Linked DNA regions of Stegostoma tigrinum. The protein of the gene in region 1 interacts with the protein of each later gene in a pairwise test. Links are inferred from orthologs where the notes say so. Each region holds a gene or a part of one and is shown on either strand. Other genes may lie near its edges. The genes, in order: polr2l and rpap1.

Evidence for each region.
Region 2: the proteins of polr2l (region 1) and rpap1 interact in binary tests that used the Homo sapiens proteins (3 or more experiments, as listed by UniProt). The link is inferred for Stegostoma tigrinum from reciprocal best matches to the Homo sapiens genes POLR2L and RPAP1.

The regions. Positions count from the first base shown.
Region 1 is NC_081391.1:22,280,947-22,287,427, reverse strand, and holds polr2l (DNA-directed RNA polymerases I, II, and III subunit RPABC5), read right to left. Parts: upstream 3,837-6,481; 5' UTR 3,757-3,836; coding exon 3,662-3,756; intron 1,046-3,661; coding exon 937-1,045; 3' UTR 761-936; downstream 1-760. UniProt on the Homo sapiens protein: DNA-dependent RNA polymerase catalyzes the transcription of DNA into RNA using the four ribonucleoside triphosphates as substrates.
Region 2 is NC_081363.1:79,315,419-79,321,899, forward strand, and holds the start of rpap1 (RNA polymerase II-associated protein 1), read right to left. Parts: upstream 3,752-6,481; 5' UTR 3,684-3,751; intron 2,501-3,683; exon of another isoform or gene 1,889-2,500; intron 1-1,888. UniProt on the Homo sapiens protein: Forms an interface between the RNA polymerase II enzyme and chaperone/scaffolding protein, suggesting that it is required to connect RNA polymerase II to regulators of protein complex formation.

The DNA.
Region 1 (6,481 bases):
CTTGAAGACATGTTGCACACAACTCACTTTCCAAGACAGTGGATCGAGGATTCTCAATCCAGGCACCATTAAGAATTCAAACTAGAGCAGTACTTCCCAAACTGTTGCCTCCCACCAGGACCCTGTAATTGAGACCTGAAAACAAATGACCCTTTGAGAGCTGCAAAAGTGGAGAGGAGCCTCAGAGCAATAGCACAGCTTTTACAATTCAGAACTCCACAGCAGCCACCGTTGCCTCCGAGTTTGTTATTCCATTCAGGGCCCTGACCTCCATTGTGGGAATCCCTGACTTAGATTCCATGAAGGGAAAAGCAGACTAATTATTTATCATAAACAGATGTAGGGTAGAGGACACAGCTCAAAGTAAACAACTGGTAATAGTAATGGGCAAGTGACCTCCTGCTGAAAACCACAAAGTTATTTTTACAGTCCTGTAACCAGCACAACAAAAGGAAAGAATCCAGCTCAAAGGACCCCTCCTGTCTTCTACACTAAGATTTTTAAATTTTTTCCCCCACCCAGTATCTGATTAAGCCTGTTAGAGATCTAATTTTTCTTCCAATTCTGATTAAAGATACTATCTCTCTCCATGCTTGCTGCCATTACCTGCTGAGTATTTCCAGCAGTCTCTTTTCTCCTTTGACTGTCCTGTCTTTTTTTCCCTTCTTTTAAAAAGCTTCGCAGCAGTTCTCTTTCAAATTTAAGAGCATTCTCTCTCAACAATCCTAATCAATGACCTTTCATGAAGTGTAAACAGTGCTCAGAGTTAAATTCATTTTATTTACAAGACAGACAAAATGAAAACTCTTTTCTTCCAATCCCAAAAATATAGACTTAAAAAAAACTATTCAGTTCCACGTTTGTAGAGTCGTGCCATCAAACCAGAAGAGTTTGAGCAATTCTTTTGCTTGCCACAATCCAGAAACTAAGGGCACATCATTTCTCCAGAGGTGCGTAGTTCAAGAGTTTTTCAATCAGGTCTACGTGGGACAGCAGCATTCGTCTGCAGCAGTAACGTTTCAGGCCCAATGCATCCAGCGCATCACTGGAAACAGATAACCCACATTTAGTAACACGTTAACATCATATTGCTAGCTCTATACATCACTAAGGACTAAAATTAGGGGGACAGGTAGGTGGCTAGTTTTTGGTCTTCAGTAGAGAAGGTTAAGCAATGATATAGCACAAGCATTTTAGAAACAATCAAAGCAGATTGACAGGATGGATAGAGCAAGTTCAGAACTAGGACAAACCTCAAAACTGTAAAGAACAGGACACTATCATTTCACTCCTTGATCACAGCTGATTAACGACACACTGCCTGGAGAGGTGTGTGTGGGGGGGGAACGACTATAATGTTCTGGGAGGTGGTTAGGTGATCACTTAGGCACCATGCTGTGTGGACAGCGTTGTGAGGCTAGGAAGGTGGGATGGGTGTAGATGGGAGATCAATGGCCAACATGGACTCGGTAGGTCTCTCTCTGTGCTGTGATATCAACAAAGAACATTACATGCAGCGAATCAAATTGGCTGAAGACTGGTATCTGAGATGCCAAAGACCACTGGAGGCCAAGATGTGCCATCCACTCAGCATTTCTGACTGAAGATGGTTGCAAATGCTTCAGCCTTATCTTCTGCGCTGGTGCTGGGAATAATGGTGGAGCCCCCTCTTCAAGGGCGACGTTGATTATCTACCACCATTCATGACTTGATACAGGAAGACTGTACAGTTTAGATCTGATTCCGCTGGTTTTGAATCACTTAGCTTTGTCTATCTCTTGCTGCTTATGCCTCTTGATTTGTAAATAGTCCTGTTTCATAGCTTCACCGGGTTGACAGCTCACTTTTAGGATAACGTGGAAATGCTCTGACACACCTTACTGCACTCTGCATTGACCTAAGGTTGATCCCCTGCTTGGTGTTACTAAGAGTTGGGGATATATTGGGCCATGAGGTTGCAGACCTGGCAGGTAGAGGCACTGTAATATTTAAATATTTAGATTTGCACTTGCGATGCCAAAGCATACATGGCTATGGCCAAATGTAGAAAAACAGGATTAGAATAATTAGGTAACAAAGTGTGGAGCTGGATGAACACCGTAGGCCAAACAGCATCTTAGGAGCTCAAGAGCTGACGTTCCGAGCCTACTTGTTGGGCCAAAAAGCCTTTCTCTGTGCTGTATTATGACTATGCTTCCATAGAGGGACTTTTGCCCCTAATCCTTATTTGGGGACTTGCATGAACCACAGTTTAAAATTCGTAACTGATTGAACAAACTGTTTTTTAAACACATTCCACCACCCTACTGTGGGTGTATAAAATGTCTCTTCCCAATTTATCTCATGATCTTATTGAATTACAGAACAGACTGTAAGTCTCAGGAGCAGAACAAGGCCATGTAGCCCATCAAGTCTGCTCCACTATTCAATGAGATCATGGTTGATCTGATAACTCAACTCCATTTTCCTGCTGTTTCCCTACAATCCTTCATTCCTTTACTGATTAAAAATCTGTGTCTCAAACTTGAGCAAGAGAATCTGTGGGAAAGAATTCCAGATTCACTACCCTCATAAGAGATTCCTCAACTCTGGTGTAACTGAGCAATTCCTTAGTCTGTCATTATACCCTCTAGTCCTAGACTCTCCAAGATGGAGAAACAACTTCTTAGCATCCAACCCGTCATGCCAACACCACGTCCCCACCTTCCAATAACTTTTTGCTTTAATGAGGCCACCCAGCCAATCTTCTGAGTCCAGTGTTCTGGCTGAGCCAACTCAACATCTCAAGAAAATCCCTCCACAAGCAGGATCAGCCTCAAGAGCCTTCTCTGGATCACCTGCAATGGCAACGTGTCTTTCTGTTGATAAGGGTTCTAAATCAGTTCACAGCATTCCAAACATCTGGCTCAAGGGTCAATACTCCCTACTTTGACTCCTAATTCATACAGATGTACCACTTGGCCATATCTTGGCTTTTCATAAATTCGACCAAGGCTGATACTAAGGTGGAGAACTGGATGAACACAGCAGGCCAAGCAGCATCGGAGGAACAGGAAGGGTACCGTTTCGGGTCACGAAGAAGGGCTCAGACCCGAAAGGTCAGCTTCCCTGCTCCTCTGATGCTGGTTGGCCTGCTGTGTTCACCCAGCTCCAGGCCGGTGTTATCTCACTGTCTCCAGGATCTGCAGTTTCTACTATCTCTGAGGCTGACACTGTTGGCGCTCTGTCCAAGTTTGTTTTATATTCACCCGCGGGACCTGAGTGTCACTGGCTTGACCAGCATTAGTTGCCCAGAGAGGGGGGAGCCCAGTCACCCACACTGCTGTGGGTCTGGAGTCACATGTAGACCAGGCCATGGTGTGGGTGGCAGATTCCCCCCCCCCCCCCCAAAGGGTATTAGCGAACCAGGTGGGGTTTTCTCACAAACTGGCAAGGGGTTCATCACCAGACTCTTCACTCCAGGTTCAAACCTGTTTCCCCGGAACATTAACCCGGGGCTTTGCACTCATCGTGGCACCGGGCCTCCCCGTTGTCCCAGTGAGTCCGGCCAGAGTCTGGATGGAAGGTGCGGGCGCTGCCCGAGGCCGGTGTTGTTGTTGTTGTTGTTAGGCCCCAGGCCCCAGGCCTCTCCCCGCCCACCCCGCCCCCGGCTGTTACTCACCCCTCCGTGTACTCGGCCTGCAGCAGGCCCAGGTAAGCCTCCCACTTGTTGCCGACCACCTTGCCGCAGGTGAAGCAGCGGACCGGGATGATCATGGCGCCGTCTCCGAGAATGAGTCGTGGGGACGGAAACTCCGCTTCTGGAAACTTCTCCCAGCGTCAGCCCACTGCGCATGTGCTGGGGGGGGGGGGAGAAAATGATGTCCCGCGGGCAGATTGCGCATGCGTGCCGTACTGGGCCTGCGGTGAGGAATTGAGAGCAGCGGGGGGCGCTGTTTCTCTCAATTTCACCTCCAAAGTGGGAGGAGGGGCATGAGGTGGGTCTCAGAGACTACAGGGTCAAGACTTGTTACCCATTTCCTAATTTCAACCTTTACAAGGTGTGGGTGGGTTGCTGTCTAACCAGAGCAATGAAACAGCACAGCAGGGGCCATTCAGTCCATCCTGCCTGTGCTGACCCAAATGCCTTTGCAATCCCACCTTCCTGCACACAACCCATAGTTTTGCAGATTACAGCACTTCAGGCGCAGATCGGGGACTTTCGAAAAGAGTTTAGAGCCGTTGCCTCCATCACCAACTCACACAGCAAATTCTAGACACACATCATCGTCTGCATAAGAGATAATAGGAACTGCAGAGGCTGGAGAATCCGATATAACAAGGTGTAGAGCTGGCAGGCCAAGCAGCATCTTCGGAGCAGGAAAGCTGACATTTCAGGCCTAGACCCTTCATCAGAAATGGGGGCGAGGAAGAGGGTTCTGAAATAAATAGGGAGAGAGGGGGAGATGGATCAAATATGGATAGAGGAGAAGATAGGTGAAGAGGAGACAGACAGGTTAAAGAGGCGGGGGTGGAGCCATGAAAGGTGAGTGTAGGTGGGGGAGGTAGGGAGGGGATAGGTCAGTCCGGGGAGGACGGACAGGTCAAGGGGGCAGGATGAGGTTAGTAGGTAGGAGATGGGGGTGGGGCTTGAGGTGGGAGGTGGGGATAGGTGGGAGGAAGGGCAGGTTAGGGAGACAGGGATGAGTTGGGCTGGTTTTGGGATGCAGTGGGGGGACGGGAGATTTTTAAGCTTGTAAAATCCACATTGATACCATTGGGATGCAGGGTTCCCAAGCGGAATATGAGTTGCTGTTCCTGCAACCTTCGGGTGGCATCATTGTGGCACTGCAGGAGGCCCAGGATGGACATGTCATCTGCGGAATGGGAGGGGGAGTTGAGTGGTTCGTGACTGGGAGGTGCAATTGTTTATTGCAAACTGAGCATAGGTGTTCTGCAAAGCGATCCCCAAGCCTCCACCTGGTTTCCCCGATGTAGAGGAGGCCACAATGCGAACAGCAGTATACCTCATTTGCAGATGTGCAGGTGAACATCTGCTTGATGTGAAAAGTCATCTTGGGGCCTAGGATGTGGGTGAGGGAGCAGGTGTAGCACTTCCTGCGGTTGCAGGGGAAGGTGCCGGGTGTGGTGGGGCTGGAGGGGAGAGTGGAGCGGATAATGGAGTCACGGACAGAGTGGTCTCTCTGGAAAGCAGACAAGGGTGGGGAGGGAAAAATGTCTATAGTGGTGGGGTCGGATTGCAGATGGCAGAAGTGTTGGAGGATGATGCGTTGGATCCAGAGGTTGGTGGGGTGGTACGTGAGGACGAGCGGGATTCTGTTGTTATTGTGGGGATGGGGTCTGAGGGATGAGTTGCAAGAAATATGGGAGACACAGTCGAGGGCGTTCTTGACCACTGCAGAGGGGAGCTTTTGGTCCTTGAAAAATGAGGACATCTGAGATGTACGGGAGTGGAATGCCTCATCCTGGGAGCAGATTTGAGGGAGGCAAAGGAATTGGGAATAGGGGATGGCATTTTTGCAGAAGTTGGGTGGGAGGAGGTGTATTCTAGGTAGCTGTGGGAGTTGGTGGGCTTGAAATGGATATCAGTTTCTAGGTGGTTGCCCGAGATGGAGGCAGAGAGATCCCGGAAGGTGAGGGAGGTGTTAGAGATAGTCCAGGAGAACTTAAGGTTGGGGTGGAAGGTGTTGGTGACGTGGATGAACTGTTCGAGCTCCTCTTGGGAGCAAGAGGCGACGCTGATACAGTCATCAAAGTAACAGAGGAAGAGGTGGGGTTTGGGCCAGTGTAGGTACGGAAGTGGATTATTCCACATAACCTACAAAGAGGCAGGCATAGCTTCGGCCCATGCAGGTACCCATGGCTACCCCCTTTGTCTGTAGGAAGTGGGAAGAATTGAAAAAGGAGTTGTTGAGGGTGAGGACAGGTTCGTCTAAGCAGATGAGGGTGTCATTGGAGGGTGACTGGTCGGGCCTGCAGGACAGGAAGAAGCGGAGGGCCTTGAGGCCATCTGCATGGGGAATGCAGATGTATAGGGACTGCACGTCCATAGTAAAAATGAGGTGTTGGGGACCGGGGAATTGGATGTTCTGGAGAAGGTGGAGGGCGTGGGTGGTGTCTCGAACGTACGTAGGGAATTCCTGGACCAAGGGGAAGAAAATGGAGTCCAGATAGGTGGAGATGAGTTCGGTGGGGCCAGAGCAGGTGGAGACAATGGGTCAACCAGGACAGGCAGGTTTGTGGTTTTTGGAGATAGAAGCGGGTGGTGTGGGGTTGGGGATCGATGAGGTCGGATGCTGTGGGTGGGTGGTCAGCCAAGGTGATTTTGTTGTGGATGTTTTGGGTGATGATGGTTTGGTGCTCGGGGGTGGGGTAATGATCCGGGGGCGGTAGGAGGAGGTGTCGGAGAGTTGGCCCCGGGCCTCAGCGATGTAGAGGTCAGTGCGCCATACGACAACTGCACCTCCCTTGTCCATGGGTT
Region 2 (6,481 bases), on another chromosome or scaffold:
AAATAGGATGGTGTGAGGGGCCAGACAGAACCATGGCTTAACATCTGATCCAAAGAATGATATCTCCAACAATATAGCACTTCATCAGTTCCACAGTACGGTGTCAATGCAACCTCTGCATTGTGATCTTTTCCATTTTGAATCAAGACAGCTACCAAACAACCACAACTTACACCTTCTTCCTGACTGTTGTAAACTGATATAGAAGATTGGAGGTTCTTCCTTCTGATCATCACCCTGCAATCTTTAAGCATAAAATAAGGTAATCTGGGAACGACCACTTTGTTAAGAAATCCCTGCGCTTTGGAACCAATGGTTCATTCCACTAATGTCACAACTGCTCATAGGCCACAATGGAATTGACATCTGATAAACCGCTCATCAAAAGGAGAGTGGTCCCTCACTGACACACACACACTCCAGAGTCCAGCATTCAGCCCTAATCCATGTCCAAGTCTTCCAGCCTATGCTGAGCCCTGAACTGAACGGGAGTCAATTTTCTACTGTGGAGATTGAAAGCCCACTGGAAAGGTAGGGATGGGTAGCTGCCTGGCCAGTGGGATCAATTTAAAAGTCTAACATGGTAAATCTGCATCAAGAGCAAACGTATATATTCAATTAAGGATATAGAGAGAAGCAGGAGACCAATTCATAGAGAAAACCCTCACATTGATCTCACCTATCCCAAATCAGTCATTCTGTTATATTCATGTAGGGATAAACTCATTTTGACATGAAAAAGTGATAAGCACGACTGAAAGTGGGGCAATAAATGTCAAGTAGGCAATTATAAGGAGGGAAAAGGAACAACTAGAGGGAGCAATACACATCAATGCTTGTCTGTTTCCTCTCCTGTTTCAGCTCTCAGTCCTGCTCCTGGCCGTACATCACACATTCGCAATGTTCTTTGGTCCAGTCTCCAAGTGCCTGCTTCATATTTTGTCAGTGTTTCTCCCACAGATGATTCCAATGCATCCACATGTAGTCTAGTATGTGGATAAAGAAACTTAACATCTTTCAGCTCACGCATACTTATTTGCTTCTCATTTTCAGGCTATACTGCTACCCAGTTGTAACGTGAAAGGCCAACCAAACGTGTAAACCATTTCTTATCAGTAACACAGCCTCTCCCATTAACTAGTGTCTCCTTCTGGTGAAACTGGGTCTCTCGCAGCCCCAAGCTGCATCTTCAGGGAACCCCGATGGAGGTTTGATTCCCAGATGTAATGTGCAGGTTTGCAAGTGGACAGGCCCAGGAATTCATGATTCAAACTCCAAGCTATGGAAGTGTAAGTCCACTGTATATGGATATTTTGGAGAGCTGATGCTGAGGAAGCAAACGCAGACAAAACACTGGAGTGAAACCCATAGGCGAATTGACATCTGGATATGCTACCTTCTGGCAACTGTTGCAATTAGCCAACACCAAGCAGGGTGTTTTGCATTGACTTTAAACAAACTAAGGAGATCAAGAAGCGTACCTTGGCTTTTGGGGCAGCCTAGGGCCTACATAGATTTTGCCTCAGAACGTGTCCCAGAAAGCACACTCCAGTTTCACTGCAGTGCATTAAAATGACAGAGCCGTTACAAGAAATAAGCCCAGACTGACATAAAAGAATGGGTGCTCCGGCCATTGAAGCTGGATATTGACCCCACAGTTGAGGAAATTAGCGACGTTAGTGACTCACTGGCATAGGTCAAGGTGCTGATGCCGATCCTTACCGTCCGAACTCATCGAGCAGGAGAAACCAGCACTCCTGCAGCATCTACACAAACTTCCCTACCTCTGCTGGTGGAAGGGAGCAGCACTCAGGAATTTGCATGCTCCAACTGTGACTCTGTAGGAGAACAAAGACAACCACAGTGATCGTAACAATGATCCCAGTACCTCCTTTAACGTGCATCACAGGTGAAGTATTTGTTTGTGTTGCCGTTGTCAGACTGCAGATCATATCCATCCCAAATCCCAGGTTGGCATCAGAACTAGAAAATACAGAATTAGCTCATTCTCTCCGCTACAGAGTTGCAAGATGAGATGTCAGGAACAGAGGAGACTGGTGTGCATTTCCACGGTAAGCTCTTAAAAGCCATTAAACTACCTGAGTAAAGACAGTCAACTTAGGCTGTTGATGAACACTGGGTACCCAACGCGACTGATAAACGTGATCTCCTGTTTCCATGACAGCGTGATAGAAAAGGTCAAGGTCAGAAACCTTCAAGAAATAGGACTGTGTTTTGGCACTCACACATTTGGCATATTCTCCTCTTTGCTGCTGTTATATGTCGCCAGGTAATTTACAGAGGGGTCTACTTATATACCAGATTTGACAGAGATCTGTTCAACCTGCCTTACCCAAGATCCAAGACTAAAGTGCACCAAATCATCAGCAGAGAGTTGCTCCACACCAACGATGCTGCAGAATAATTTCACATCGAGAAACATCCTCAGCAGCAAACGTGCAGATGCTCTCACGCCTGGAAAGGACTTGGTTAGACCATCAGCATCAGAAAGGCTACTGTCACTTTCCAAGACATTGCTACACTGCACTTGATAGTGTAACACTAAACCTTTATGTATCAAGGTTCCACAACCACCAATCTGTCACCAAGTGCTGAAATCAACACACACATCACACAGCTGCTCTGTATGATCTCAGTGAGACAGTGTAGTATAGCATTCTGAGAACATCAAACTGCAAACCTAATAAACCTGCATCCTCAGTACATTCCTCTCTATTTATCAGACCTAGACAATGCATGCTAAGCAGAACAAAGGCTGGACAGTTTCCACCTTCGCTGTCTCATATGTATATAGCGTATCTTTTGGCAGGATAAAGTCACTAACTCTCAAGTTCTGGAATGTCCTAACTCCTCAAGCATACACTCATTGCTAAGGCAACGATGTCTGCACTGACTCAGCCGTACTCATTGGATGACTCGTGGCCTTATACCCAGAGGCCTTCTATACAGTGAACTGGCCACTGGGTCACAACTTCCTGAGAGTCCATACTTCTGCAAGAAGGATACCTTGCAAGTGAGGTGGCAGACACTGACAATTTGGAGGTAATCACAAGCAGCCGTGTCCCCTGGTGGGGATGGCTGCCGAAATGGCAAAAACACAAAACTCAGCTGGCCAAGAGAAAACAGGCCAGCAAATCGTGCACTCTCTCAGCACACACAGTTCTCCTCTACAATGAATGCGGCAGAGATGGCGATGTCAGAGTGAAGTTCTAGAGAAACATGAGAAAATGCTGAACACAGAGTAGGCATGGCCCAATCTATCACCCTTCCAGATTTAAGGCTGTCACTGGCATCCTTACAGTTTAGATTAAACCTGCATAATAAAATGTGAGGCTGGATGAACACAGCAGGCCAAGCAGCATCTCAGGAGCACAAAAGCTGACGTTTCGGACTCTTCATCAGAGCGGAACCTCTTATAATCGGCACACATTGTTCTATTTGCACATCTCTGCCTCTCACTTCCCTCACCTGGTATCTCCGCACCCCCTACCCCATATATCTCCAATCGTTCATCATTTCTCTCCCCATCCCTTCTTTCCTCCTCCTCCTCTTCTTCTTTCCCTCCCTCTACTTCTCCTCTCCCCCCCCCCCTTTTCTTTCTTTCACTCTCTCTCCTTCTTCTTCTCTACTTCTCGCCCTCTCTCCCTCTCCCAAACTCTTACTGTTTCGCTCCAAACCTCCACCTGGAACCCACGCCAAGCGCCACTTCCGCCCCGCTTGGCGTCACACGCATAACCCGGCCCCGGCTCGGCTTCCGCTCATTACCGCGGATAGAGCTTATTCGCAACTGTGCAACGGAAAATCCGTCCCCACGACTTCCGTCCACCACTAGGTCGCTCGGATGCAAACAATTGGAACATCTCTCACCCGCCAAGTTGAACACAGGGAATGGGTATGGGAGGGGGATTCCCTTCAATTCCTATAATGCAAAATAGAGAACCCCCCTCCCCACCCCACCAAAACAGAAATAACCTCAACAGCAAGAGGCTATTTGTCGAAGCACGAAGAAAGTGAAAGGTTTGGAGTGGCAATTCTCAATTCCGCACTTTAAGCTATGAACAGTACACACCAGATATTCGAGGATCTATTCTCAATTGTCTCTTCCTTGGCAAGCCTCCTCGATGACTGCACTTCAAGTGTACTTCGACGGCAGTAAAGCAGCTTTGGGACGTCTAGCGGTCGCGAAAAAGGGCGACATTATTTTTCTTTGGAAATCTCGGAAGGGGTTGTCCCATGGGAGCCCCTCAACCCACAGGAGAAGGAGCTCAGCTCAGTCAGTTGTTTCCATCACAATGAGATCATTCGCTGACAACGTTTTCCAAAGTAACTCCTGCTTAATTTGCAAGGTGTGCGTGGTATTTTTGCCTGCCTGGAAATCGTGACAGGGAAACGTATAGGTGATCAGAGATAATGGGAACTGCAGATGCTGGAGGATCCAAGATAACAAAGTGAAGCTGGATGAACACAGCAGGCCAAGCAGCATCTCAGGAGCACAAAAGCTGACGTTTCGGGCCTAGACCCTTCATCAGACAGGGGGATGGGGAGAGGGTTCTGGAATAAATAAGGAGGGGGGAGGCGGACAGAAGATGGAGAGAAAAGAGATAGGTGGAGAGGAGAGTATAGGTGGGGAGGTAGGGAGGGGATAGATCAGTCCAGGGAAGACGGACAGGTCAAGGAGGCAGGATGAGGTTATCTTTTCTCTCCATCTTCCGTCTGCCTCCCCTCTCTCCCTATTTATTCCAGAACCCTCTCCCCAACCCCCTCTCTGATGAAGGGTCTAGGACCGAAACATCAGCTTTTGTGCTCCTGAGATGCTGCTTGGCCTGCTGTGTTCATCCAGCTTCACACTTTGTTATCATAAACCTATAGGTGAGGCATTTTCCTCGGTTTTCTGCCCAAGTTCACCAGTAACAATTTTACTGACCATGTTTATGCTTCTTTGTGCCTTCATGGGATGTGGGCATCACTAGCATTTGTTGCCCATCCCCTGATTGCCCTTCCACTGACTGGCTAGCAAAGTCATTTCAGAAAACAGTTAAGAGCAGTTCAGAAAGAGGCAACCATATTGTTGTGGATCTGAAGTCACAGACTGGGACAGGACAACAAATTTCCTTTCCCAGAGGGCATTAGTGAACTATGTAGGCTTTTACAACATAATAGCTCCATAGTCTCAGAACTGAGGTGAGTTTTCAATTTTCAATTATTAATTAAATTTAAGATCCACAAACTGCACTTTATTCATTCACAGGATGAGGGCATCTTTGGCTAGGCTAGCATTTATGCCCATCCCTAATTGCCCAGAGGGCAGTTAAGAGTCAACTATATTGCTGTGGGATTTGAATGTAGACCAGGCCAGTTTCCTTGCCTGAAGGACACCAGTGAATCAGATAGGTTTTTCCGTCAATCGGCAGTCGTTTAATGGTCTTCACTGAACTCTTAATTCCAGATTTTTATTGAATTCAAGTTCCACCATCTACCATGAACCCAGGTCCTGAGCTGGGCCACTGGATTAACAGACCAGCAACACTACCACTAGACTGTCACTTCACCTCATTGATGAGATTTCAACTCATGTCCCAGAGTATTAACCTGGGCCTGTCATCCCACTATATTAACACCATACTATAAAATCCCTTAATACTATTTCAATTTTTTCGGATTTTGCGATAAACTTTACTGTAACGTTCATTATTTCCAATATAAGCACAATATAACCGAAATGTTTTTCCTCATGCTTCCTTAACCAGGAAGACACAACTGAATAACTAAATTCTTATGTTTCAGAAAGAGGCCATTCAGCCCATCTATCAACAATGGCTAACTAACGACCCAACAATCTGAATAGTTGAACGGTTTTCTGATTTAAAGCATTTTTTTTCTGAAAGTCATGGTGCGGCGGTTTCCCATGGCCACACTTTTGTTACTAGCTAAAGAAAAAACCCTGTGAACATCCTCTCAGAGTTGAAAAACAATTTTAAAGTTCTAGGCATTCATGATGGCTGGAAGACACATCACTCAACGTCCAACCACGGCTCTACCTTTTACTTGCTTATATCAGAAATATTTGGGAATGCATTAGCTCTCTTCTTCATTTTCGCAACCAATCCACATTCACTGCATGAGGCACAATTGTGTTCCATAGATCAGTGACTCTGCATAAAAATAAATTCACCCTGACATTTAGACTGGTTCTATGCTGACATAACAAAAGGATTGGAATGTATCCAGCATCTTTGTTGACCTGACAAAATGCCAAAGCACTTCAAATCCAATAAAGTAATTTTGTACTGTAATTACTGATGTAATGTCGGAAACACAGCAAACCATTTGTACACAGCAAACTCCCACAAGGGGCAATGAGATAATGACCAGCTCATCTCTCCGTGTGACACACGTTGCAGGATAAATATTGGTCAGGAACACATGAAGAATTCTCCCTCTGTTCTTCTTTTGGAGGATC